Linked DNA regions of Stegostoma tigrinum. The protein of the gene in region 1 interacts with the protein of each later gene in a biochemical or structural test. Links are inferred from orthologs where the notes say so. Each region holds a gene or a part of one and is shown in the gene's direction. Other genes may lie near its edges. The genes, in order: rad51, tyrosine-protein kinase ABL1-like, fbxo18 and sem1.

Evidence for each region.
Region 2: the proteins of rad51 (region 1) and tyrosine-protein kinase ABL1-like form a complex in vitro, tested with the Homo sapiens proteins (2 studies listed by BioGRID). The link is inferred for Stegostoma tigrinum from reciprocal best matches to the Homo sapiens genes RAD51 and ABL1.
Region 3: the proteins of rad51 (region 1) and fbxo18 form a complex in vitro, tested with the Homo sapiens proteins (2 studies listed by BioGRID, with this or other methods). The link is inferred for Stegostoma tigrinum from reciprocal best matches to the Homo sapiens genes RAD51 and FBH1.
Region 4: the proteins of rad51 (region 1) and sem1 form a complex in vitro, tested with the Homo sapiens proteins (2 studies listed by BioGRID). The link is inferred for Stegostoma tigrinum from reciprocal best matches to the Homo sapiens genes RAD51 and SEM1.

The regions. Positions count from the first base shown.
Region 1 is NC_081363.1:81,845,193-81,852,646, forward strand, and holds the start of rad51 (DNA repair protein RAD51 homolog 1), read left to right. Parts: upstream 1-4,454; 5' UTR 4,455-5,011; intron 5,012-7,454.
Region 2 is NC_081382.1:41,442,821-41,450,165, forward strand, and holds the start of tyrosine-protein kinase ABL1-like, read left to right. Parts: upstream 1-4,344; 5' UTR 4,345-4,919; coding exon 4,920-5,052; intron 5,053-7,345. UniProt on the Homo sapiens protein: Non-receptor tyrosine-protein kinase that plays a role in many key processes linked to cell growth and survival such as cytoskeleton remodeling in response to extracellular stimuli, cell motility and adhesion, receptor endocytosis, autophagy, DNA damage response and apoptosis.
Region 3 is NC_081378.1:11,774,631-11,781,744, forward strand, and holds the start of fbxo18 (F-box DNA helicase 1), read left to right. Parts: upstream 1-4,098; 5' UTR 4,099-4,310; coding exon 4,311-4,379; intron 4,380-5,464; exon of another isoform or gene 5,465-5,533; intron 5,534-6,418; coding exon 6,419-6,461; intron 6,462-7,114. Other genes in the region: ankrd16 (ankyrin repeat domain-containing protein 16), read right to left, coding at 2,550-2,887. UniProt on the Homo sapiens protein: 3'-5' DNA helicase and substrate-recognition component of the SCF(FBH1) E3 ubiquitin ligase complex that plays a key role in response to stalled/damaged replication forks.
Region 4 is NC_081355.1:83,549,987-83,557,113, reverse strand, and holds the start of sem1 (26S proteasome complex subunit SEM1), read left to right. Parts: upstream 1-4,102; 5' UTR 4,103-4,168; coding exon 4,169-4,244; intron 4,245-7,127. UniProt on the Homo sapiens protein: Component of the 26S proteasome, a multiprotein complex involved in the ATP-dependent degradation of ubiquitinated proteins.

The DNA.
Region 1 (7,454 bases):
GGCAGGTGTAGCACTTCCTGTGGTTGCAGGGAAAAGTGCCGGGTGTGGTGGGGCTGGAGGGGACTGTGGAGCGGACAAGGGAGTTACGGAGAGAGTGGTCCCCTCAGATAAGGGTGGGGAGGCAAAAATGTCTTTGGTGATGGGGTCGGATTGCAGATGGTGGAAGTGTCGGAGGATGTAGCGTTGGATCCGGAGGTTGGTGGGGTGGTATGTGAGGACAAGGGGGTTTCTGTTTTGGTTGTTATTGCGGGGAGGGGGCGCAAGGGATGAGTTGCAGGAAATGCGGGAGACATGATTGAGGGCGTTCCCGACCAATGAAGGGGAGAAGTTGTGGTCCTTGAAAAACGAGGACATCTGAGATGTTCCGGAGTGGAATGTCTCATCCTGTGAACAAATGTGGCGGAGGCAAGGGATTGGGAATAGGGGATGGCATTTTTGGAGTAAGGTTGTGGGAGGAGGTGTATTCTAGGTAGCTGTGGGAGTCAGTGGGCTTGAAATGGATATTGGTTTCCAGGTGGTCGCCAGAGATGCAAACAGAGAGGTCCAGGAAGGACAGAGAGGTATCAGAGATGGTGCAGATGAACTTAAGGTTGGGTGGAAGGTGTTGGTGAAGTGGATGAACTGTTTGAGCTCCTCGTGGGAGCACGAGGCGGTGCCGAAACAGTCATCAATGTAACGGAGGAAGAGGTGGGGTTTACGGCCAGTGTAGCTATGGAAGAGGGATTGATCCATGTAACCTACAAAGAGGCAGGCACAGCTTGGGCCCATGCGGGTACCCCTGGCCACCCCCTTTGCCTGTAGGAAATGGGAAAAATTGAAAGCGAAGTTGTTGAGGGTGAGGACGAGTTTGGCTAAGTGGATGAGGGTGTCGGTGGAGTGCCACAACGTTGCCACCTGAAGGTCGCAGGAATAGCATCTCATATTTTGCTTGACACGCCTACAGCCCAATGATATCAATGTAGACTTCACAAGCTTCAAAATCTCCCCTCCCCCTACTGCATGGCAAAACCAGCCCATCTCATACCCTCCTCTATAACCTGTCCTTCCACTTATCCCCTCCTCCCACCTCAAGCCCCACCCCCATCTGCTACCTGTTAGCCTCACCCCACCCCCTTGATCTGTTCGTCCTCCCTGGACCGCCTATCCCCTCCCTAACTCCCCACCTGTACTCACCTTTACTGGCTCTATCCCCATCTCTTTGACCTATCTGTCTCCTCTGCACCTATCTTCTCCTCCATCCATCTTCTTTCCGCCTCCCACTCTTTCCCTATTTATTTCAGAACCTCCTTCCCCTCCCCCATTTCTGAAGGAGGGTCTAGGCCCGAAACGTAAGCTTTCCTGTTCCTGTGATGCTGCTTGGCCTGCTGTGCTCATCCAGCTCTTGTTACGTCAGATTCTCCAGCATCTGCAGTTCCTACTATCTAGCGAGTTTTGAGAAGATTTGTAGGTCAGGTTGAGGTTCTGGATGTGAGTTTGCTCACTGAGCTGGAAGGTTAGTTTTCAGACGTTTCGTCACCATTCTAGGTAACATCATCAGTGAGCCTCCGATGAAGCTTCATCGGAGGGTCACTGACGATGTTACCTGGAATGAAACAAACAACAAAGAAACAAAGAAACCTACAGCACAGGAACAGGCCCTTCGGCCCTCCAAGCCTGCACCGATCAAGATCCTCTGTCTAACCTGTCATCTATTTTCTAACGGTCTGTGTCCATTTGCTGCCTGCCCCCTAACCTTCCAGCTCAGCGAGCAAACCCACATCCAGTTCATCCAGCCTCACATTTTATTATCTTCCAGTTCCTACTATCTCTTAAGGACACAAGGCAGGATTTTACAGTTTATGATCCCTGCCCCTTCTCTGATTTATAGGGAATTTGTCCAGGGGAAAAACAGTTGCTCTGCTGCTACTGAAAACATTGGCTAGAAGAGGAATTTCTGCCCTTCAGGGAAAGGAAGTCCAAGCTTCGACATCTGCTGATCAATCAAATAGCTGGTAGTACTTCTGGTCCCAGCAGTGTTAGGCAGAAGCAATGTTCATTACTGCATAAACTAAATACTAACTTCAATCCAAAGTTCTAACATGTGCAATAAACTCTTGCCTAGCACTTCATCTAAGGACTTAAAACAAAAAACCTCAATACATTACAGTTAGTGGTTTTCAGTCACTCAGATACCAAGAACTGCAGATGCTGGAGTCAGAGTCAATTCAGCATGGAGCTGAAGAAACACAGCAGTTTATGGAGCATCAGAGGGCAGGAAATTTGACGTTTCAATTTTACACCCTTCATCAAGACTGAGAAAGGAGCTGGGAAATAAATACAGGGAGGAGGGGTGGAGCTGGGGGAAGGTGAATACACATGGGGGTAGTAGGTAATAGGAAGGGAGGGGCGGATAGGTGGGAAAGATGATGAACAGGTTGTGTCAGGTCAAGATGGCAGGGTTGGAAGTGGTATGAGGTCAGGGTGGGGAGATTTTGAAACTGTTCAGGCCATCGGGGTGTAGGCTAATCCTCCAGTTTGCGCGTGGGGTCATTGTTACACTGGAGGAGGTCCAAGGTGGACATGTCATCAATGGAGTGGGAGGGGAAGTCAAAATGATTGGCAACCAGAAGGTGTTGTGATTATAGCATACAGAACGCAGATGCTCCACAAATTGGTCACCAAGTCTGTACTTGGTCTCACCGATGTAGAGGAGGCCACATTGGGAGAAATGGATACAGCAGACCAGGTTGGAGATGTACAAGTGAACCCCCGTCGGATTTGGAAAGTTTGTCTTGGGCCTTGGATGGAGGTAAAGGGGAGGTGTAGGAGCATACGTAGCACCTGCAGTTGCAGGGAAAGGGGCCAGGTGTGGTGGAATTGTGGATTGGATGAGGGAGACGCAGAGTAAGAGGGCTCTATGAAAGGCAGATGGGGCTGGGGAGAGAAATATCTCTTTGGCGGTGAAGTTGGTCACAGTGGCAGAAGTAGCAGAGAATGATGTGCTGGATGTGGAGGTTGGTAGGGTGGTATATGAGGGCCAAGGGGACTCTGGCCTTACTTTTGTTTGGAGGGAAGTGTTTGAGGATAGTGTGGGAAATGTAAGCGATGTGGTTGGGGGCATTGTGGATCAAGAGGAGAGGGGAAAAGTTGCGGTCCTTGAAGTAGGAGAACATCTGGGATGTCTGGGAGTGGAACAATCCATCTTGGGAGCAGTTGGAGGCGGTGGAATTGGGAGTAGGGGATCACATTCTTCCAGGAGGGTGGGCAAGAGGAGGTGTAGTCAAGGTAGCTACAGGAGTTGGTGTTTCTGAAATAGATGTCGGTGCTGAGACGGTTACTGGAGATAGAGGGGTGCAGGAAGTTGGGGGGGGGGGGAAGGTATTGGAGATGATCCAAGTGAATTTCAGGTGGAGGTGAAAGGTGTTGGTAAAGTTAATTAACTGTTCAAGCTCCTCATGAGAGCACGAAGCAGTGCCGATACAGACATCAATGTAGCAGAGGAAGAGGTGAGGGATGGTGACAGTGTAACAGCGGAAGAGGGACTGTTCCATGTATCGTACAAAGAGGCAGGCATATCTCGGATCCATACGGGTGCCCATAGCCACCCTTTCATTTTGTAGGAAGTGGGAGGAGTTAAAGGAAAAGTTGTTGAGGATAAGCACAAGTTCCGTTAAGCGGATGGCTGATTCACGGAGCATCTGTGCTCTGTTCGCTGTAATCAACAACATCTTAACAGGTACTATTTTAACTCCCCCACCCACTCCCACTACCTTGCTAACATGTTCATCCTGGGCCTCCTCCAGTGCCACAGTGATGCCACACGCAAACTGGAGGAACATCATCTCATATTGTGCCTCCGGAGCCTATACAGCCGGATGGTTGGGATGGAGGGGAAGGTGGAGGGGGGAGGGAGAGACAGTTTCTTGAGAGTCACTCTGCATCAATCTAAGATTCAAAACATTCATCTTCACATGGCAAGAGGAAGAACAATCCTCTGAATAGGTTTACCGCTACTCATGGATGTAAGAAATTCTCAGCATTCTCTGAAGAGGTCAAGTTTTGCTCCTTCTCTAGAAGGTACATCCGCATACCCAAGAAGAAAATTTTGTATATACTTAAATTCCTCTCCATCCAAGTCCATAATACAATGGTAGTCCCAGGCTATAGTTGGAAAGTTAAAGTCCCCTACCATTAGAACCCTACCATCCTTACAGATATCTGGGACCTGCTTACAGATTTGCTTCTCAATTTCCCACTAACCACTTGGGGGGAGGGCGTGCTATAGTACCTAATAAGATAATTATCCCTTTTCTTATTTCGCAGTTCTACCCAAATGACTTCACTGGATGCTCTCCCAAGAATATCCTCGAATGAAATTAACGAGGCCTGAGTCATAACAATTGAAAACAGAAATTACTGGAAAAGCTCAGCAGCGCTGCCAGCATCTGTGGAGAGATAGCAGTTAACGTTTTGGGTCCAGTGACTCTTCCTCAGAGTCACAACGGCACAGTCTACAGCACAGGAAAAAGGTCCACTGCATCAGCGCTAGTTTAAAAAAAACCTTGACTATTCTAACTGGATAACAAAGAAAAATCAGTCTTACAGATGGCACAAATGTGAGGCTGGAAGGTCAACGTCTTGGCACACCAAGGGTGGCACCATCATCACATAAATGGATTATATGGTCTACTCTATCCACATCACCAAAAGCAGGTTTGATACGGGTCTGGCAGTCTTATTCAGTCAACATCACCAACGCAGACCATCTCATCCATTCATCTCGGTAGCTCTTGACGGCCAACGGCTTTGCCCAAAATGGCCGGTGTCCTCGGCCTAGGCGCGCTCTTCTCTCAGACAGCGACAACAGACGCGCACGCTCCATTTTACTCCGCGAACGTTTGCGGCTTGCGTGGCTGCGTCACTGAGAAGTGGCGCGCGTTTTGGAAGAGTTGAGCCGAGTGGAGACGCAGAGGGAGCGAGCGGACCGTGCCCGCTTTAACGGACAGCCACAGTAGCCGCCTCTGCCTTTCAGGTAAAAGCAGCGAATTCCTTAAGAGAGGCGGGGTCGCGGTCTCCGACGGAGGGTATAAGCCCGGGAGCCTGTTGACACTTCCCTTACTCCCCACTTCACCCCCCACTAAAGCTTGTTGTCCTTTGGCCACCGTCTGCCTGCCATTGTTAACGGCGACAGGCTGGTGCGAGAGGATCTGGGCAAGGGACAGGGTCGATCCAGAGGCCTTCAATCCGTCAGCAAGGCCTTGAGTTCGAAAGTTGGCTACATTGTAATGCCTGCTGCAGTGGAATGGCTGTGCCTTCCTTATTACTAACAAAGCTTAGATGCTAGTTTTTTGTGATTAATGCTCTAGGACTCTAATTCACACTATGCTGCAGCTTTCCACAATCTTGCCCCATTTGAATAATATTTAGCTCTTGTATTATTCCTGCCAAAGTGCATAACCTCACATTTTCCCGAATTATATTTCAACTGCCAAGTTTTTCCTTACTTTCTTAATCAATTTGTATCCTTCTGTAGACTACTTGTTCATTTGCACTTCTTGCCTTCCCACCTGTTTGTGCCATCCTCAAACTTAGTGATCGTATGTTTGTTTCCATCATCCAAAATCATTAACGTATATTGTAAATCATTGTGGCTACGGCACTGATCATTTTGGCACTCCACTAGCAACCTTTAGCTGATAATATCCCCTTTCCTGATAATATCCCCTTTATCTCAACTGTGTTGTTGATGATTTAGCACATTCTTCACCATGCTAGTACCTTATCAAATGTCTTTATGAGAAACATATATTGTATCCACTGCATCCTCTTTATCTACACTCCTTAGTACCATCAGCAAAGAAATTTGTAAGGCAAGCTGATGCTGCTTGATTATAGTGTGAGTTTCTAAATGCTCTGCTGTTACATTCTTTTCCCATAATATATGTTAATAACTTGTCTGTAGTTAGTTGTGTTTTCTGTGATTGCGGCTGTAGCATCGGAAAAATGCCCTTCAGCGCACTGAATCACATCAGCAACCTAACTATTCTAATTGCACTTTCCAACACCTGATATGCATTAGCATCACAAGTGTACAGTTAAATACTTGTTGAATATTATGAGGATTTCTGCCATGACCAACCTTACAGGCAGTGAGGTCCAGATTCTCACCACCCTCTGGTTTAAAAAAATACTTTGCTCACATCTCCTCTGAATTGCCTTCCCCTTACTTTGAATCTGTGCCCCCAGTCTTTGATCCCTGCAAGAGGAAAAGTATTTTTCCTGATTACCCTGTCAATGCCTTTCATAATTTTATTTATCTGAATTATGTTTGTCTCCTCAGTCTGCTCTGCTCTAAGGGAAACAACTCAAGTTTATCTGAAACAAAAAGAGAAACTACAGAACAATTCTGAGGAAGGATCACTCGTTAACTCTGATTGGGCAGCATGGTGGCTCAGTGGTTAGCACTGCAGCCTCACAGCGCCAGGGACCAAGATTTGATTCCAGCCTCGGGGGACTGTCTGTGTGGAGTTTGCACATTCTCCCCGTGTCTGCATGGGTTTTCTCTGGGTGCTCTGGTTTCCTCCCACAGTCCAAAGATGTGCAGGCTAGGTGGATCGGCCATGTTAAGTTGCCCGTAGTGTTCAGGGGTGTGTGGGTTATCAGGGGATGGGTCTTGGTGGGATGCTTCAAGGGGTGGTGTGGACTTGTTAGGCCAAAGGGCCAGTTTCCACACAGTAAGAAATCTAATCTGAAAAAAATTTCTCTTCGCAGATGTTGCCAGACCTGCTGAGGTTTTCCAGTAATTTCTGTTTTTGTTTCTGATGTACAGCATCAGCAGTTCTTTCAGTTTTTACCCATTTTATCTGATCTCTTTTCATAATTAGAATTCTCCAGCCCAGGCAACATCCTGGTAAATCTCCACTGAACCTTCCCCAGTGTATTTACATCCCTTCTATAATGTCAATTCTAGAACGATACACAATACTCCTAGCTGTTAGAGGGAACAAAGAAATAGCAACAGAGTGAAATATTTTGTGTTAGTCTTTATAGTGGAATGTACTTCAAGCATCTCATAAACTCAGAAGAATACAGGGAAGGAATTAAGTACCATTGCCATCATTAGAGAAGTAGTATTAGCACACTAATGAGGCTAAGAATCCTCAAAGAAGTAACTACAGAGATACTGAATGTATTGGTTGTAATTTTCCAAAAATCCTTGGATTCAGGAGAAGTAGTGGAGGAATCGAAAACTGCCAATGTGACATGACTATTCAAAAAAAAGAGGGGGCTGCAAAAAGCAGGTATCTTTAGGCTGATTAGCCTGACATCTGTTGAGATCAATTACTATGGAAGCAACATCAGCACATTTGGAAAATCAAGCAGAGTCAGCATGACTTTTTGTGAAAGGGAAATCGTATCTGAGTACTTTATTGGAGTTTTTTGAGGAAGTCTCACCCCGAGTGGGTAGTGAACCA
Region 2 (7,345 bases), on another chromosome or scaffold:
ACAAAAATGGGGTTGGATGTTATCCGTACCCAGAGTGTATGGCACCTCTGGATTGAACAGCAGATGTTGAGGCTGTAAAATCAATACTGCAATTTCAAATATTCACACTATGTATTCATGACTTAGATGAGGAGATAGCAATGACATTAGATTGGTAGTGTAACGTTGTCACACATACCGCTAGACTAAGTGAAAAAGAAGAGTGGTGGCAAATGGGTTTCAATGCAGGCAAATTGAGACAATCTACTATGGACCTAAAGAGAATAGAACAGGGTATTTTCTAACTGGTGTAAAGCTAGAAACAGTGGAGGCCCAAAACGTTTCCTTGTCCATTGATCTGCAAATCGTCGGGAAAGTTAAAACAAAAATAATCAAAAAAGCTAAGGTCATGGTGGCCATTATCTCTAGACAGGCAACGTACAAGGTGGAGAAAGTTAACAACAGTTATACAAAGCCCCAGTTATACAAACACCTGAACTACGAGCATATCTGGGACCCATGCCTTAGGGTGGGCATTCGGCCTTGGAGGGGTGGAATGTAGGTTTACTAGAATGATACCTGGATATCAAGGACTAAATTACTGGAAGAAATTACACAAACTAGGGCCATATCTCCTGAACTCAGAAAGTTAAAGCATGTGATTCGATTGAAATTTTCAGAATGAAGGCAAGGTATAAGCTGGACTGGAGTCAGTGCAGAACTGTTACCTCTGGGTCAGATGGTTGAGCACATAATGCAGTGCAGTACTGAGGGAGTGTTGCAATGTCGGAAGTGCTGGGTTTTGATTTTGAGGCCTTTCCTGCCCTCGCTGGTGGACATAAACAAATCCCTAGGCAGTGTTGCAAAGAAAATCATGGTATTCACAATGTCTGACCAATATTTATTCCCTAATCCACAACACAAAAATCTGATCATAATCACATTACTATTTGTAGGATTTTTTCAGTGTGCAAATTATCCACTGCATTTCTTCGTTACAAAAGCTGCCAGACTACAAGAGGACTTCATGAGGTGTAAAGTGCTTTTGGACATCCTGTGGTCATAAAACATAGAACATTATAGTGCAGTACAGGCCCTTCGGCCCTCGATGTTGCGCCAACCTATGAAACCAGTCTGAAGCCCATCTAACCTACACTATTCCATTATTATCCATATGTTTACCCAATGACCATTTAAATGCCCTTAAACTTGGCCAGTCTACTACTGTTGCAGGCAGGGCATTCCACGCCCTTACTACTCTGAGTAAAGAACCTACCTCTGACATCTGCCCTATATCTTTCACCCCTCAATTTAAAGCTATGTCCCCTCGTACTAGCCATCACCATCTGAGGAAAAAGGCTCTCACTGTCCACCTTATCTAATCCTCTGATCATCTTGTATGTTTCTATTAGGTCACCTCTTAACCTTCTTCTCTCAGCCTCAAGTCCCTCAGCCTTTCCTCATAAGACCTTCCCTCCAGACCAGGCAACATCCTGGTAAATCTCCTCTGCACCCTTTCCAAAGCTTCCACATCCTTCTTATAATGCAGTGACCAGAACTGTACGCAATACTCCAAGTGTGGCCGCAAGGGTTTGGGGAACAGGGGTCAGAGTAAGAGTGGGTGGTTCAAAGTTGGAGTGGGGGCATCAGGGTATGAATGTCAGTGTTGGAGTTCGGCGTGGGAGTGCAGTGGGACAACAGTGTTCAATTGGGGGTGCCAGGTTGGGGGTGAAGTGCTGGGATCAAAGGGTAGAAATGGAATTGGAGGGCAGAGAGAATGGGAGTTGCAGAGTCAGAGTGGAAGTGGCGGACAAGGTTCAAAATTGGAGTGAGGGTGCAGAGTGAGGAATGGGTATCATAGTGGGTTTGGGGGTCAGCATACAAGTGGGTGTCATAGTAGGGGTGGGGAATAGCAGTCTGAGTGGGGTAAGACATAGTGGGGGTGTCAGAGTAGGGTGCTACTATAAAGGGCTGCTATAAATACAAGTGTTTCTTTCTTTGATATAAACTATTTCTGCTGGTTGTGAAATTGGGGCTAGGGGATATCATCTAAAAATCAGAGTCAGACCTGCCAGGTGTTTGGGATTCTCTGCATCAAATGTAAGTTGATGCTAGTGTGATAGCTAATTTTAATTGGAATTCTGGTAGATTTTTGTTTATGCAAGTTATTAAGGAATATGGGGCAATGGTGGGTCAATAGAATTAGATCACAGATCAACCATAATCCTTTCAAATAGTAGTATGGGATTTATGGACTGAATGGCTTCTTCTTGTTCTGACAAACTCCCTTAAGCACCTTTTTCATTTTGGCCCATTCAGGTGGCTGTCTAACTCAAATAGTAATGCTCCGGTCTTGCAGCCAAAAGCTCTGGTTTCAAGTCCCAGTCCAGACATGTGTATGGTTTGAACAGGTCACTAACCAACCTGCTAACACTTCTCCAAAGGCAATAAAATTTAGGGAGATATGGTTCTAGTGCTTTTAGTCCAGAGGTTCATATCTAGGGACATGAATTCAAATCCCTCAATGTTTGCTAGTGGAATTTGAATTCAAATAATAATTCTGGAAATGGAACCTAGTCTAGCTAGTGGCAAATCTCCTTTGCACTGTCTCTTGTGCAGTCAACATCCTTCCTATAGTGTGGCTAAAAGTATGTCTTCGGAAAGGATGAAGCAAAAACGTGTAAACATACAAAACAAATTTGCACTATCACTGTCAGGGACAGGGCACCGAGGAAGGAGATGAAGTTGTTCTCATGGTCATTTTGGAGAAGATGCCCACTCTGACCCACTCTCATTCTGACCCTACCCCCAACCCCACTCTGACCCATTCCCACTATGACACAACACCACCCCACTCTGATCCACTGCCATTCCTACTCTGACTCCACTCCCTCTTTGACTTACTCCCATTCCTGCTCTGACCCACCCTCACCTGCAGTCTAACACCCTTATCCCACTTTGAACCTCCACTCCCACTCTGATCCCCATAACCCACCCTACTCTGACACCCCCACTATGTCTTACCCCACTCAGACTGCTATTCCCCACCCCTACTATGACACCCACTTGTATGCTGACCCCCAAACCCACTATGATACCCATTCCTCACTCTGCACCCCCACTCCAATTTTGAACCTTGTTCCCCACTTCCACTCTGACTCTGCAACTCCCATTCTCTCTGCCCTCCAATTCCATTTCTACCCTTTGATCCCAGCACTTCATTCCCAACCTGGCACCCCCAATTGAACACTATTGTCCCACTGCACTCCCACGCCGAACTCCAACACTGACATTCATACCCTGATGCCCCCACTCCAACTTTGAACCACCCACTCTTACTCTGACCCCTGTTCCCCAAACCTACTATGATCCACTCTATCCTCTGTTTGCACACGTACTCTGATCCCCACTCTGACCCATGTTTTCCACCTCCACTCTGACTCCTGTCCCAACCCTGATCCTGATCCCTATTTCCAGCCCCTTCTCTGATCTCCATTCTGACCCCTGTTCTCCACCCAGCTCTCTGGCCCCCAACCTCTCTGACACACTCTCCAACCCCATGGGTCAGTGGGATGGGGAATCTGCCTGCCCCAAGGCTGAGACAATCACACCGCCCCTCCAACTTCTCTGAGCCTTTTTACCCCTCCTTTCCCTTCCAGACCTCTAAGCTTTGACCCCACCCTGATCCCATTCCCCTTCCCACTGACCCATGTCCCAACCCCCACCGTGATCCCGTTCCCCATCCCACTGACCCATGTTCCAACCCCCACCGTGATCCCATTCCCCACCCCACTGACCCATGTCCTAACCCCCACCCTGATCCCTGTTCCCCACCCACTCTCTGACCCCCACCCCATCCCCCTTCACACCTACTCCCCACACCATTCTGACCCCTGTCCCAACCCCCACCCTGATCCCTATTTCACACCCCTTCGGTGACCCCCACTCTGACCCTTGTTCCCCATCCCCTCTCTGACCTCCTCCCCCATCCCCTCACTCCAACTCTGACCCCTGTACCCAACCCCTTGTCTGACCCCAAAACCCCACCCCCATTCTAACCCGCCCCCGCCTCCCATGTGACCCCGCCCACCCGATGCACCGTAGGCTCCGCCTTCCATGCCCAACGCGCTGACGTCAGGGGACGCGCGGACGTCAGGCGCACGGTGCGTGGCCTCATTCCGCTTGCCCCGAACATGGCGGATGCCTCCAAGTGAGAGAGCGGGAGAGACGGGGAGCAGTGGCGGCGGCAGCAGCGGCGTCGGCTTCCAGCCCAAGGACTCCTGCGTGTCCCCGCCCACCCAACACATCCCCAGGCGGTGGGGAGGGCGGGGGGTGGGGGGGAGAGTGAAGAAAAAAATGAGTGAGGGGGGGTCTGGCGGGAACTGACTGGTCCCGAAACAGCGCCCCGTGAGGGAAGCCGGAGGGTTGTTCCCCTCCCCCCACCCCCGACACAACCCCCTCCGAAGTGGGAACTTTGACCCCCCCCAGCCCGTGACCCCAAGTTGACCCCAGCCTTTTAACTTCTGCCTGCCCCAAGGCTGAGACAATCACGTCCCCCCCAACTTCTCTGAGCCTTTTTACCCCCCCCCCCCACTTTCCCTTCCAGATCTCTAAGCTTTGACCCATCCTCCCAGCCCCCTGGACGCTTCTTCCCCCACCCCTATGTTCCTATCCCTGGAGCCTAACCTGTGTTTCCCCCTCTGTTTGCCTCAGGTCGTGACCCTTCTCTGCTCCCCACTTTCTTAATAGCCCCGTCCCTGCTTTCTAACTTTCTGCCGTCCTCCCGACCCCAGTGTGTCTCCTTCTGTGGGCACTCACTTCCCTCACCCCTTCCTCCTCCTCCTCCTCCTCTTGCCCACCACTTCCAGCCGTAGAAAGAGTATTTCTTTTTGTATATATATATATTTTTATTATTGCTTGGACCTGGAGTGGATTAATTTATGGGGCAACAACCAGGCAAAGTTCTTGCGGACCAAAGAAGGCCGACACTGCCTGCGCTGCACTTTATCAAAGGAGGAAAGCGAGAGGCATCCAAACATGGAGCTCAGCATTTCAATGTGTTTGTGGAGCACGGTAAGGAGATATCTGATCATTGGATGCACTTGATTGTTGCTGGCATTCCCTTCATCAAGCAAAAAAATAAACATTACAAGCTAGTAAAATCAATCAACCCAAAATATGCTTCATTGCGTGGGATAGGGAATGGGATCAGGGTTATATGTCACACTTGGAAATTAGCAGCATAAAACTTACTTCATAGCCTTTTTTCTACCAGAATTTTGAGATTTCCGTTGATGTCTTTGGTGACCACTACATTCGATTTCATCAACTGCTGAAAATTGTCAACTTGTGCCATTGATTGTGTAACTAGTGTGGTGGTTGTTTGTTTTAAATGTTTGTTGTATTTCTCAGCCTGTTGCTGCGACAGTTTATTGGATGAGTGGAAGAGCAAAAGGTGCATCAGTCACCAGGTTTGAGTTTAGTGTATATGAAATTCTTTACTCACTATTGCTAGAGATTCTTCAATTGCACAGTTATATCAAAAATTTATAAAGAAGAAATCTGAGAGGTCCACCGGTGAGTAGTATTGTTTTTGAAATACAGGTGGATATAGAGGAAATGGCATACTTGAAAGTGATGCTGAACCTAGAGGGAGTACTTTCAGGAGAAAAGAACATCCTAAATGTATAATGTGAAAACATGGAAAGGAACTCTTTAATTTAGTCCCTTGTGTTTTTTGCCAAGGGAGTTGCACCATGATTTTCAGTTGCAGTAATCATTGCATCAAATTACATACAATCTACTGCACATAAACAGGTTATTCCACTCAATATATCTATGCTGGTATTTATGCTGCACAGGAGCCTATACCCATCATACTTGCACTCACTCTATCAACACATGCTTCTGTTCCTTTCTCCTATATGTGCTTTTCTTGCTCCCTATTAAATGCATCTATACTTTCTGTGCAACAGTAAATCCTACATTTCAACCATTCTCTGGATGAAGAGGTTTCTCTAGAAATTTCCATCAGATTTATGTGATTGTCTTACACTTATGCCCAAATGCCATAAGTGGCAATGTCTTCTCTGTGAGTACCCTATCAAATGCTTTCATAATGTTAAATACCTCAATCAGGTCACCCCTCACTTGCTACTCTTAGATTACTCCAACACCTTGAGTTAGCTGGGCATTCTGGAGTGACCATATTTAATGATGCACAGCAGTTGGGATTGGCTCACTGGCTGGTGATTTTGAAGCTGCTTCCGGATGGGTTTGAAACTTTGACAACCACGTGGATGACTGGAAAGTTCTGGACACATTTGTGATGGACGTGGATTAAATATGATAGTCAGTCTTCCGCTGTAGTGCTCCACAAATAGCAATGTGACAATGGCCAGATTCTTACTTTGTTTAGCCAGGTTCTTTCTATTTAATGATTTTAGTTGAGGGCATAATATTAACGAGGTCATGAAGGAGAACTTTTCTGCCTTTCTTCATCAAAACAGTGACATGGTTTCTTTTACACCTGCCTGATTGATATTTCATCCAGTAGACAGCACCTCCAACGATGTAGTATTCTGTATTATCTGTGAGCCTATGTTTTTATCTGAATTGCTGACCAAGAGAAAACTTAATGAATTATGGTACCATTGTGTTATGTTACAGACTCCAAATCCAGGGACTAATGATTTGGAGTCCTACATTCAAATCCCACCACCCTAACCACAGCAACTGAAGAATTTAAAATTACTTAATTGACTAAATCTGGAATTGAAAAAGTGAGTGTAGCAGTAAAGATGACCATGAATCACCGCCTGGTTCGCAAATATCCTTTAGGGAAGTGAATCTGCAGTTTTTAACCAATCTGGCTCGTGAGGATGGATTATAAATATTGGCCCTGTCAGCAACACGTCTATCCAGTGAATGAATAAAAATTACCAACAGGCTGTCCACCAAATTGGCAGTGAAAATCATTTTGCAGAGTATCTAGTATGTTAAAGCATGTAAATATTGTTACTGTGGAGACACAGGAAGAACACATCCCATGCACTGCAACTGAAACAACTAGTGTACAAGATGGCAACAGTTTAAAAACTCACTTGAATTCACGGATTATTGTTGTAGTTTAACCAACTTAAAAGCAAAATACTGTGGATGCTGGAAATCTGGAGTTAAAGTGCTGGAAAATCTGCAGCATCTTTGAATTGAGAAGAGGTTGATGTTTTGAGTCCAATGTGACTTCTTCAGAAATGGACTTAAAAAGATTCATATTGGACTCAAAACATGAACTCCTTTTTTCTCTCAGCAGATGATGCCAAACTTGAGTTTCTCCAGCACTTTTTGTTTTTATTGTTGGGTTGGT
Region 3 (7,114 bases), on another chromosome or scaffold:
GTGTGGGCATTTTGGAGATGTTGTGTATGAAGGATGGGTGTTGTGTGGGTGTAGGCAGTGGTTGCATTGTATAGGGTGTTGTTTGGAGGAGTATGTGGATTGCATTGGGGGTAGGGATGTTGCTTGGAGGGGTATTTGGGGCCATGTTGGGTTTAGAGAGTATTGTGGCAGGATTGCAATGTTATCATTCCCCCACACCCCCGCTATTTAAATAGGGCTTCACCTGATGAAGGAACTGTGCTTTAAAAGCTTGTGATTTCAAATAAACCTGTTGTACTATAACCTGATTTCATGTGACTTCTGACTTTGTCCATCCCAGTCCAACACCGGGACCTCCACATAACATTTAAATGCTGTTATTAGTTTAACTTGTTCCATTTTGAAGAAGGGTTTGCCTCTGGAATATGAATTCCTGTGCAAAAAAGATGCCTGACAGAGTGAATATTTCCAATATTTTCAGCCTTTGCTTCAAGTTTTGTCATAATGATTTGCACCTTTGTTGTTCAATGCATTTTCAAGCACCATCTTGTGTCATAGAGCTGTAAGTACATGGCTGCGAAACAATTCTATATTGACGTTATCTATAACCAAAATATAAGTTGTTACTGCAAAAGGGCCGGTCACATGATAACATTGACTTTCATGTTTGGTGTTTTGATATTGTGAACATTACCCTTTCACATACAAAATTAGAAATCTCTATACTAACAGAACCTAGTGAATTGAAACGACAAGAATATAAACCAGGGAAAATAAATCATCTGTATTTACTAATGACCAAAAAGAAAAGGTGGGTTAACAGAATGATAGATTTACTAGTGCAGAAAGATGCCATTTGGCCCATTGTGTCCACATTGGATTTCCAAACATTTATATGCCAACTAGCTATCAGCTGTGGCTCAGTTAATCACACTCCCACCTCTGAGTCAGAGGGTTAAAAAAGGTTCAGAACACTCTTCAGCTCATAGCCAAAGGCTGACACTCTTGTGCATTACAGAGATAGTGCAACTGTCAGAGATTCTACCTTTCAAGTAAGACAGTAAACGGAGGCAGGTAGATCTAAGAGATCCGAGGAAGAACAGACTTTTCTAAATGCTTTGCAGGCACTACTTATCACTAACAGAATAATTATTCCTGTGATAGTGGAAGCATTCAGTTTGTGCATAGGAAGATCCCATACAGTAATTGAATTAATGGCCTGATAATTGTTTTAATGATGTTGGCTGATTGATTACATATTGGTCAGGACATTGCAGGGGACTCTCCAACTTCTCCTTGAAATAGTGACGTGCAATCTTTTTATGTGCTTATTTACGTGTTTGATATTGGTCTCCTTATTTAATTAAGGATGTAAATGGGCTGGAAGCAGCTCAGAGAGGTTGACTAGACAAATACTTAGAACGGGTGTCTTATGATGAAAGATCAGACAGGCTAGGCTTGTATTCGCCAGAGGTTACAAGAGTGAGAGGCAATTTGATGGAAAGATACGAGACCCTGAGGAGTCTTAACAGGGTGGATGTGGAGAGGAGGTTTCTTCTCATAGAAGAATCCACTCTGAGGGGGAACTGTTTGAAAATAATGAGTCATGCACTTAAAACAGAAATAAGGGGAAACCTTTTTCTCACATAGTGTTGCTCATGAGTCTTTTCCTCAACAGACCGTGGAAGCAGAGTCTTTGAATATTTTTAAGGCAGGGATAGACAGATTTTTGATAATGAAAAGAGTAAAGAGATTTTTGGGATGAGGGGAATGGGAAGTAATCAGAGCAGCTATGATATTACTGTACAGTGCCACGCACCTTAGGGGCTGAGTGGCCTACTACTCCTAATTCATACATTTGTATGCATCTTTTTTAACTGATCTGAAAGGGAGTTCATTCCTTGTCCAACTGGGAGGGGAATAGCTCAAGATTTTAAAAATTCTTTCCTGGGATGACGGCACTGCTGACTAGCTCAGTTTTTCTTACCCATCCCTAATTGCCCTTGAAATGAGTGGCATGCTAGGCCATTTCAGAAGGCAGTTATTAGTCAAGCATGTTGCTGTGGGCCATGTACTGTAAAGCTGAATACATTTCCTTTATTTTTCTACATTTACATTCTATGTTTTGGTTTTTATGTGTTTTAAAATGGCACCAGAGCGTGGTGACACTGTGCAACACTTCTAACTGTGTTTTGTAACAAAATACATGTGGTAATAAATAAATAACTTAAATAAATCAAACACATAGTCCAGACCAGGTAAGAACTGCACATTTGCTTCCCTGAAGGACATTAGTATGCCAGATGGTTCTTGATGACAATTGCCAATGGTTTCATGGTAACTATTAGGTTGACTTTAATTAAATATTTTATTGGATTAAAGTTCTACCGTGCGCCATAGAGAAATTCAAGTCCTAGGTCCCGACAACTTTAACCTGAGGTTTGGGGTTGCTAGTCCAATGACATTAATACAAACATCAACACCTCCCTATGATGCGGACAATCTTCAATTCGGGCAAACGAGAAAGATGAGCAGTTTCTTCTCCGTTACCCAACAGCGCTGCCACTTACCAATCAGCTTTCTTCAAACAGTCAACGTTGGCTCCTTGGGCTAGCAGGTACCTCACACACATTCTGTGACCCATGGACCCTGCTTCATGCAAAGCTCGTTTGTAATCACTGTTCACCAGCTCAATGTTGGCACCGAGCTCCTCCACCAGGTATTTCAGGATTGGCAGGTGCCCATACCTGGCAGCATAATGCAGCACTGTGTCACCCGATCTCCCAAAGTGACCCTTCAACACTGTATCCAGAACAGCTTCACCCTTACCCAGTTCCTCTTTGAGATGGGAAAGACTGCCTTCTTGTATTATTCTAATGAGATGCTTGACTTTGCCTTCACAAGTCATCAGCTTTAATCCTCAAAAGAAATTGCTCTGACAAGAAAAAACGTCTCACTTGTAACAATCTGATGACAAACTCATCTGCTTTTGCTGCAAAACCTAATACAAATCTCCAAATCTTTATTTCCTCAGTTTCTCTCCTAAGACTCCCTCACAGAGGCAGGTCCTCAGTGCTTACATGCACCCTCTGAGATATTATTTGTAAATATTAATCCTAATCACAAAGCACGAGCTCTGTTCACAGCTGCCTTCCTTCTTTAAACCTGTACACACTCACAGAGACTCAGATCTTCCAGCTCCACCCCCAGAGTAACAACGACCGACTAAAAACATTCCCTGTGAGTCCTTAGGCTGGTAAACGCTAGAATTGCTCATCAGGGAAAAGACAGGGCCGGCTAACTTCTTGGAGCTATGTGCAATCATTGTGAGTAGCAATTTGATTCACCCTGCATTTCAAACAATTAAAAATAAAAACTCTGAACAGTTAAAAATGTTTATATGGAATGAACCGTCATTTTTAACCCCTCAGATAACCAAACATTTTGGGGGAACCCTTTATGCAAGGGCCCTCTGAAGTGTATCAGCATTTACAGGGAATCCCTTGAAGTGTCTCAATATTTGCAGGGGATCCCCGAGAAAAGAGTCAGTATCTGAAGGGAAAAGTTGGCAATATTTCCAGGAAACTTGCAGTCGAAGATAATGGAAAGCAGGGATTCTCAAAAGTATCCGAGTATTTGCAGCGCGTATGTCAACCAGAAGAGCGTGGTGGGGCTTCCGAAATATAGAAAACGGTGCGAAAAAGATCACCAGAAAGAGAGATAGTTGGAGAAAGAGAAGCTTCAACAAACCTACGGAAAGCTGACAGTTGTCCTTAAATGAGATCAACGCTTGCTCAGAAAGATTCCACCTACTGCTGATTGCGAACTGACAGCCGTGGATTTTCTAAGTAGTCGTCCAGAGACAGCAAGCAAATAAAGTGTGTGGTTCCTGGTAGCCGTGAGAGCATCTAGGGAGGAATAGACTCCGGAAGTACTCACTGAGCAGTTTGGAATTGCTCTAAAGCTGGGGTGGAAATAAGTCTGGATTTGATATGTCCCAGAGATGAAAAACAAAGCGAGAAACTTGCATGCACTCCACCTTGTATCATTTAACCATTGAGTGCCCTGGATATGGTGAGTGGCATATTAACTCAGCAGCAGGTTCCCCTAGATGGAGTTTCCCGTGCAGACCTTTGCATGATATCAAACTGAGTTCTACCTAAGGCTGGATTTCCCAAACTCTAGCCGGACTCTTGTTTCCCAAATGATCGGTTTACAAGAATGGTTGCTGGCAGAAGGGACTTGAAATATGAGGATAGATTGACGAAATTAGGAATGTCCTCCTTGGAGCGAAGAAGGCGCAGATCCGATTTAAGTTTTTAAAATGATGGATGGAATGCATAGGGTGTAGCAGTTTCCGACACACAAAAGGAACAAAAGGCCAGCGTTTCGCAAAGGAAGTAAGAATGAACTGAGGAAAAGCTTTTTTCACACAGCAAGTATTTAGGGTCTGGAATGCACTGCCTGAAAGTGTGGCGGAGACAGATTTCATAACATAGAAACGTAGAAGATAGGAGCAGGAGGAGGCCGTTTGGCGCTTGGAGCCTGCTTCGCCATTCATAGAATTCATTGAATACCCACAGTGTGGAAACAGGCCGTTTGTCCCCTCCCAAGAGCATCCCACCCAGACCCAGTCCCCATGTCTAACCCACCTAACCTAAACATCTCTGGACACTACAGGGCAATTTAGTATAGCCAATCCACCGAGCCTGCACATTTTTTGGAATGTGGGAGGAAACCCACGCAGACCCAGGGATTTCTTCACGAACATGGCTGATCGTCCAACTCAATAGCCTAATCCTGCTTTCTCCCCATAACCTTTGATCCCATTTGCCCCCCAAGTGCCTGGTCGCCTCTTGAATACATTCGATGTTTTGGCATCGACTATTACCTGTGGTAATGAATTCCACAGACTGACCACTCTTTGGATGAAAATATGTCTCCTCATCTCCCTCCTAGATCATCTACCCTGAATCCTCAGACTGTGACCCCCTTGGTTCTGGACACAGCCACCATCAGGAACATCTTCCCAGCATCTACCCTGTCCAGTCCTGTTAGAATTTTATGAGTCTGTGTCGAACATAGAACCCCTACAGTGTGGAACAGGCCCTTCAGCCCAACAAGTCCACACCGACCCACAGAGCATCCCACCTAGACCCATTCACCTACAACTCACCTAACCCACACATTCCTGAACACTATGGTCAATTGAGCATAGTCAATCCACCTACCCTGCACATCTTTGGACTGTGGGAGGAAACCCACGCAGACACAGGAAGAATGTGCAAACTCCACACAGGCAGTCACCCAAGGGTGGAATCGAACCTGGGTCCCTGGCGCTGTGTGGCAGCACTGCTATCCGCTGAACCACCGTGCTGCCTGTGTTGAGGAGATTCCGTCTTCATTCATTTGAACTCCAGCAAAAACAATTCCAAAGTCATCAGTCTCTCCTCATATGTCAGAGCTGCCATCCCCGGAAACAGCCTGGTAAACCTTTGCAGCACTCCCTCGAGAGGAAGAGCATCCTTCCTCAGAAAGGAAGACCAAATTCTAGGTATGGCCTCACCAAGACCCTGTGTAACTGCAACAACATGTTGAGGTATTTAAGAGACCATTGGATGATTATTTGGATAAAAATAATATATAAAGGTGTGGGGGGAAAGCAGTAGAGGCCTCCTTTTGGACCATGACATTTCTGTGATTCTGCATGGTGGAGAAAATTGACAAGCAAGCCAATGAGGTTAAAACAAGGGGATTTTCAAACTAATGTTGGTTTCTGTAATTGCTCAGGGTTAGTTAGCTCAGTTGGCTGGATAGCTGATTTGCGTTGCAGAGTGATATCATTAGTGTGGGTTCAGTTTCTGAAAGGCTGAGGTTACCATGAATGTTCCACCTTCTCAACCTTGCCCCTTGCCTGAGGCATGGTGGCCCTCAGGTTAATTATAATCCATCATCGCTTTCTATTGAGAGAGCATCCATATGGCCCTCTGGAACTATGGAGTCTTTAACTTTGCAACAGGGTCGTCTGAAGGGGTGATGGATATGGCAGATTCAGTAGTAGCTTTCAGAAGTTAACTAAGTATTTGAAAGGAAATAAAAAACTGTCAAGGCCATGTGGGAATAATTGTGTCTCTCTTCCAAGTGAAACCCAGCACAGGCACTGAGGGCTGTATTAGTTCTTGCTGTGCTTGTCAATTGTGTGATATCTGTTCAATCATACAAGCCTTGTCTCAATGCTTGTTGGGATCTCTATATTCACACTTGCCACTTACCTCTTAACCGAGGGGCACTGTTCACCAGCTGACCATGGGGGAGTAAAATTGTGACCAGCTGATTTGGTACAGACTGGCATTGGAGCTAGAAGGGTCTAGTCAGCCACTTGAAAATGGTTGTGGGGCGGTAACTGCTAAAATTTCAATTTTGTTTTCTTATTTTACAGTTTAACCAAAATCACAGGAGCAGCAATGTTACAATGATTCTTTGTGAGTAAACCTGTTTCCTTGCTTTTTAATACAATGACATTTGAATTGTATGCTGTTCTGTTTAATAACTTCGGCTATTTTCTAAAGTTTGGATTTAGAAGTAGAATGTTGGAAGAATAACTAATTAACCTAAAAAAGACAAATATTTGAAAATAATGATGTTATTTCAATATTGTTGTCTTTATTTAAGATCTGAAGAAGTGAAATAGTTCCCAGCCTTGTTTAACTGTTTGTTTTAAGTGGTGATATTGATTAAAATGAGGAGTACTTTGAAATCAAGATGCAGGGAGGCTCAATGCTTGTAGGGCTAAAGACCCAGGTAACCAGCGAGTTTATACAGTCATACAGCATGGAAACAGACCCTTTGGTCCAACTAAATGACACTGACAAACTAAATCAGTCCCACTTATCTATGTTTGACCCAAATCCCTCTAAACCTTTCCTATTCATGTGCTTATCCAAATGTCTTTTAAATGTTGTAACTGTACACTTGCCTGGATGAGTGTAGCTCCAACAACAAGCAAGAAACCAGACACCATCCAGGACAAAGTACTAATGGGCATCCCAATTCCAATCTCAAACACGCAGTTCCTCCACCTAGATCACACAAACAACAGCATGGATCACCTACAAGGTGGACTGCAGCAATTTCA
Region 4 (7,127 bases), on another chromosome or scaffold:
AGGTCACAGGAGGATTTGTACGGGGTAGAGAATCTTGCGAGTTCAATACATGAACAAATGTGAGGTTGAGCCAACTCGGTGGCATGTGCATTTTGTTATTGCAATTCCAAAAGTCCAAGAACTAGCATAGTGGCACAGTGATTAGCTTAGCACTGCTGCCTCACAGCACTATGGACCCAGTTTTGATTCCAGCTATGGTGACTGTGGGGATTAGCCTCTGTGTCTGCCTGGGGTGCTCCAGATTCCTCCCACAGTCCAAAGACATGGCTATGCTTAAAGATTGCCCTGTAGTGTCCAGGGATGTACAGAATGGTGTGGTTTACTGGACCAATCCCCAGAATAGGCAAGTTAACCTATAAGAAATGCTGTTGCTAATGTTTAGAAGAGTAAGAGGTGACTTAGTTGGTACATGTAAGATCCTGAGGGGTCTTGACAGGGAAGATATGAATTGGATGCTTCCTCTAATGGAAGACTGTAAATTAAGGATCCCTATTTAAAAATCAGCTTCACTATTTGAAACTCTGTGGAAGCATATGGAAAAGTTTGAGAGGAAATCTGAATGATATTAGCTATGGTGAGCTGTGTGGCAGAATCTGGAATATGTGTGAAAAGGCCCATTTTGATATTGAGATCGTCTTAATCCATCTTTTATGCTGTTATGATGGGGTTAAACATTTGTTAACCACCTTGTTAACATCACAACTCACGTCATTAATATTCAGACTTCTTTTTTACCAAAACCACTGAACAAGCTAGATGTTGGGAAAACCAATAAGGAAACCAGAGTGAGTATCCAGTAGAATTAGCTTGTCACTATCTTGAAGCAAGACTTCAGTACTCCTATACCCAAAATTATCTTATAATAAAGGTTAGCATTCCATTAGCGTTCCTATTGGTTGCTGCACAGGCACATTAGCCTTCAGTGACTTATCAAAGATATTTAGGTCTCTTTGTACATCTACACTTTCCAACCACTTACGATTTAAAAAATACATTACAAATCTATTTCTCCTACCAAAGTGGATAATCTCGCATTTTACCGCATTACAATTCCATCTGCCATGTTGTTGCCCATTCGGTAAGCCTGTCCAAATCTTCCTGAAGACACTTTTTAGCTCCTTGTAATGAACATTTTCACTTAGCTGGTACCATCTGCAAATTTGGAAGTATTATATTTGGTCTCCAACTCCAAATCATTAATATTTATTGTGAACAGCTGGGGGTCATGTGCAGATCCTTACAGTACCTGACCAGTCACAGCTTACCAACACAAGAATCACCAATAATTCCCTTTCTTTTCTGTGAGTACATTACTCCTTTCCCACGTGTTTTAATTGTTTTAGCCAGCCTCCTGTGGAAAACTTTATTAAAAGTCCTCTGAAAATTTAAGTGTATTTGGTCCATTGGCTCTCCTTTGTCAATTTTCATCTTCAAATAACTTCTATGACTTCATCCAATGCCATTCTCCAGTCACAAATCCATGCTGACAATGTTTAATCAGACCATTATTAATCAGGTTCATAAAATGTGAGGCTGGATGAACACAGCAGGCCAAGCAGCATCTCAGGAGCACAAAAGCTGACGTTTTGGGCCGAGACCCTTCATCAGAGAGGGGGATGGGGTGAGGGTTCTGGAATAAATAGGGAGAGAGGGGGAGGCGGACCGAAGATGGAGAGAAAAGAAGATAGGTGGAGAGAGTATAAGTGGGGAGGTAGGGAGGGGATAGGTCAGTCCAGGGAAGACGGACAGGTCAAGGAGGTGGGATGAGGTTAGTAGGTAGATGGGGATGCGGCTTGGGGTGGGAGGAAGGGATGGGTGAGAGGAAGATCAGGTTAGGGAGGCAGAGACGGGTTGGACTGGTTTTGGGATGCAGTGGGTGGAGGGGAAGAGCTGGGCTGGTTGTGTGGTGCAGTGGGGAGAGGGGACGAACTGGGCTGGTTTAGGGATGCGTTGGGGGAAGGGGAGATTTTGAAACTGGTGAAGTCCGCAAATTTCCCCCACAGTGATCGAGAACGCCCTTGACCGCGTCTCCCGTATTTCCCGCAACACATCCCTCACACCCCGCCCCCGCCACAACCGCCCAAAGAGGATCCCCCTCGTTCTCACACACCACCCCACCAACCTCCGGATACAACGCATCATCCTCCGACACTTCCGCCATCTACAATCCGACCCCACCACCCAAGACGTTTTTCCATCCCCACCCCTGTCTGCTTTCTGGAGAGACCACTCTCTCCATGACTCCCTTGTTCGCTCCACACTGCCCTCCAACCCCACCACACCCGGCACCTTCCCTGCAACCGCAGGAAATGCTACACTTGCCCCCACACCTCCTCCCTCACCCCTATCCCAGGCCCCAAGATGACATTCCACATTAAGCAGAGGTTCACCTGCACATCTGCCAATGTGGTATACTGCATCCACTGTACCCGGTGTGGCTTCCTCTACATTGGGGAAACCAAGCGGAGGCTTGGGGACCGCTTTGCAGAACACCTCCGCTCAGTTCGCAACAAACAACTGCACCTCCCAGTCGCAAACTATTTCCACTCCCCCTCCCATTCTTTAGATGACACGTCCATCATGGGCCTCCTGCAGTGCCACAATGATGCCACCCGAAGGTTGCAGAGACAGCAACTCATATTCCGCCTGGGAACCCTACAGCCTAATGGTATCAATGTGGACTTCACCAGTTTCAAAATCTCCCCTTCCCCCACCGCATCCCTAAACCAGCCCAGTTTGTTCCCTCCCCCCACTGCACCACACAACCAGCCCAGCTCTTCCCCTCCACCCACTGCATCCCAAAACCAGTCCAACCTGTCTCTGCCTCCCTAACCTGTTCTTCCTCTCACCCATCCCTTCCTCCCACCCCAAGCCGCATCCCCATCTACCTACTAACCTCATCCCACCTCCTTGACCTGTCCGTCTTCCCTGGACTGACCTATCCCCTCCCTACCTCCCCACCTATACTCTCCTCTCCACCTATCTTCTTTTCTCTCCATCTTCGGTCCGCCTCCCCCTCTCTCCCTATTTATTCCAGAACCCTCGCCCCATCCCCCTCTCTGATGAAGGGTCTAGGCCCGAAACGTCAGCTTTTGTGCTCCTGAGATGCTGCTTGGCCTGCTGTGTTCATCCAGCCTCACATTTTATTATCTTGGATTCTCCAGCATCTGCAGTTCCCAGTATCACTGATACATTATTAATCAGGTGTCTATTTATTCCTTCTTAGATAGTGTGTTGATATTTGTCACCTCTCAATCCCCTGAAATCAATTCAGAAGTTATAGAATTTTGGAAGATAATCTTCATTGCATCACATATCTTTATAGTCATTTCCTTGAACATTCTGGGACATATACTATCGAGTTCCGGGGATTTATCAACTTGCCACCCCATTAATGTGTCCAGTACAATCTTTCCACAACAGCTAATTTCTTTCAACTCTTCATTCTTCTGAGTGGGAAAAAAATGGAAAACTTTTTGAGTCCAGTGAGGCTTTGTCAGCTGGAGTTTTACATCCAGTACTGGATGCTGCACATTAGAAAGGATGCAAAGGCATTGGAAAGAGTGCAAAGGAGATTTACGGGCATGGCTCAAGGGATGTAGAATTTAGCTATGAAGATATTGAAGAAGCTGGAGGGTTTTCCTTGGAGAAGACAACATTGACAGGAACGTGCTGGAAGAAGACAATGTCACAACAGGTCTGGACAGAGTAAACAGGGAGATGATATTTCCAGCCGTAAAGGTAAAGATTTAAGGTAATTAACTAAAGAGGCAAAAGTGACATGAAGAAATGTTTTACTTAGGCAATATGCGATCTCAATAGTGGCGGGCAGGTTCAACTAGGACATTTACATGACATATAGGGCAGGAAGAAGGCATTTGGTGAAATGCTCATTTGGAGAACTGGTGTACAGAATATGGGCTGAAAGGCCTTCTTCTATGCTGTAACACTTCATCGATTGGATGTAACCCACAAACACTGATGAAAAGATACGCACATAAAGATGTGATATAATGAAAGAGGCAGTGCCAGTATACAGGCACTATATCTAAGTGCTCAGAGAAAAGCGAAGCATCAGATTGTGGGCGGAGCCTCTAGAAGGTCCGCCCCCGATAGTTTCTGACGTCACAGCGTACCACAGTCCTCCCCTCGGCTGTTCTGCTGAATCATGTCGGACAAGAAGGCGCCGGTTGACCTCGGCTTGTTGGAGGAGGACGATGAGTTTGAGGAGTTTCCCGCCGAAGGTGAGTACCGTTCGGACATTTCCTCTGGGTGTTCCTGTCTGGCCCCTCAGTCCCGGGCTTGCGGCCTAGTGTGGGTCTTCACGTGGCGGAGCCGCAGGGAGCGATAGAGGGGTGAGGGCTACAGGAGGGACATGTTCGGCCCTCAGCCCGGGGCGATTGGGGGTTCATAACGATACTCTCGTCTCACCCCGATTCAGAAGTAGCTCAGGGAGTGCTCACCATTGTAACGGGCCCGGTGCTCTCTCTTAACTGCCCAGTTACTGCGATCAAAGGCAACCTCCTTCCAAGTAAACTTGCGATGTGTTTTTGAAAAGTTTTCGCTAGTCCACCTATGATTTTTGATTAGCCCCAAGCTGGTACCAGAGAGCACAAGTTGAACTGTTTGGTATTCTCGACAGTGGGCTACCCCCGGTACAGTAGCCAGAATGGGCTCCCCTGTGTTCAGGTACCTGCTTCCTGAAGGATCTCGTGATAATGGGAACTGCAGATGCTGGAGAATCCAAGATAACAAAGTGTGAAGCTAGATGAACACAGCAGGCCAAGCAGCATCTCAGGAGCACAAAAGCTGACGTTTTGGGCCCAGACCCCCTCTCATGAAGGGTCTAGGCCTGAAACGTCAGCTTTTGTGCTCCTGAGATGCTGCTTGGTCTGCTGTGTGCATCCAGCTTCACACTTTTGTTATCCTGAAGCATCTCGTGTTTGTTTTGTGACCCATCCAGGTGACAGGCAGCCCTGATGATAGGCCTTGACTCTCGTCCAAATGAGCAGTGGGTACAAGTCATCAGCGTAGCCAGAGCAGACTGGGGTTGGAGGCTCTGAGTGTGGTGACACAGGCTAGAATAGAGGCACTAAGGGCAAGTATTCAAACCACCCTGTTTCTTCCATGCCATACAGGCTAGGCTACCAATGATGGTGCTTCAGTTTTGGTGACAGGTCCAATGTACAGTTTCTATGGACATAATCTTTTATTCTACAGATTTTGCCAGTAATCAAGTGGAGTAGACAACAGATGAGCTTCTCTTTGTAATAGCCATTCAGTGACCAGCAGTTTAGTTTTTAGTGCATTAACATTCTGATCTGGAGCTTCCGTTGATTCTAGATGCTTCTAATAAAACTACCACACAAGATTTGCCTTAAAACTTGGTGACTGGTGATAACGCTGAGAGTAATTTGATTTTGAAATAATGGGACAATACTAACCCTCAGAACTGAGGAAAGGTCACTGGGCCTGAAATGTTAACTGATTATTTTTTGTTCTCAGATGCTGCCAGGCCTGCTAAGCTTTTCCAGAAACTTGTGTTTTTGTTCCTGATTTACAGCATTGCAGTTCTTTTGTTTTTTTACTGTAAAGTGTGAGCCTATTATTAGATAAATGCATACCTCCCAGTGACGAAGTCAGAGCATTCTTTTTCATACAAAAATTTGGATTTATATAGCGCATAACACTACAAATCCCTGGACACTTCAGAAGAGAAATGGATACGGTAATTAGGCTAGAGAGTAGATCAAAATGGCAGGTAAAATGTTGAACTGAATGGCAACAGTTGATTACATGTGATAAAGGAGTTACAGTAAAATCAAAGTCAGCAACAATCGAGGAGGGGTGGGGTCAGGCTAAGATGGTGTTGCTCACTACTGGCTGAAATTGTGCCAAGTACAAATGTGAATGTGGGTATTGGAGCCCTAGCTTCTCAGCATAAAGGCACTTTGGCAGCAGCTGTTCAGCTGTATTCTAGTCACTGTCATTGCTGGTTACTTCACCAAGGATCCTTGCCATTTACAGCCCAGATTGTGCATGCAGCAAGAACTGGATGGTGTTGCTTACAACCAAGTTACCTATTGGTTGCAGAAGAGCCAGGCATTGACAGTTTCCAACAAGAGGGTATCTAACTTTCCTTTGACATTCAACAGTATTACCATTACTGAATCTTCTTTGTCAACATGTTATGTATTATGATTGATCAAAAACTTAATGGGACATGAATATTGCAGCTGTAAGAGCAGGTCAGGGGCTGGAAGTTTGTGGCAAGTAACTCATTTCCTGATTTCCCCAAAGACTGCCCACATTCTATGAGGCATCAGTCAGCAGCATGACACGTATTGTCTTGTTGCTTGGCAGAGTACAGATCCAGCAGCACTCCAGAAACCTGACTTAGTGCAGGACAAAGAGGCTCATTTGACTGTATCCCATCTACCACATGAGGGAATCACTTCCTCCACCACTGGTGCACAGGCAGTGTGATATCGACAATATACACAGCAGCAGCTTGCCAGGTTTCTCTGAGAACATCTTCCAATCTCTGACCAGTAGTGTAGGTTAGAAGATCAAGGTAATGGGTACAAGTACGTACGAAAAAAAAGGTTTTATTAACCAGCACCAGAAGTGTGCCAGTCGATTAAATATTCCAGTTGATCAAGAAGTCCACATAATCAATGTGAAAACAAACACTAAAGTAATAGACAGGTAATGCAGGGCGTATACACCGCACTGTTTTACTTTATTTACAACATAAATCTTGTAAATAATGAAGCAGTTTTGCCTTAAAACTTACCAGCTTCTCATTTGCACCCTCAACCGCTTACTTGGACATCAGAGATGCAGTAAACGTTCTGTAATTCAGGTAATTTTGGCCAGTTTATTGAGACTGCTGGTTCATAAGGTGCTAGTTAAAACAAAGTTTCCTGTACCCCCAACTCTGAGTTGCCCTGAGAAACTCTTGGAGAAAAGACCTGGAACTGTGGTGACTGACCTTCAGCAACTACAACCATCTTCATATGTGCCTGATATAATTCCAACCAGTTCAGAGTTTTCTCCAATACCCATTGACCCCTGTTTTGCCAGGGCTCCTTGGTGCTACAGTCTGTTGAGTGTGGGGCCTTGAT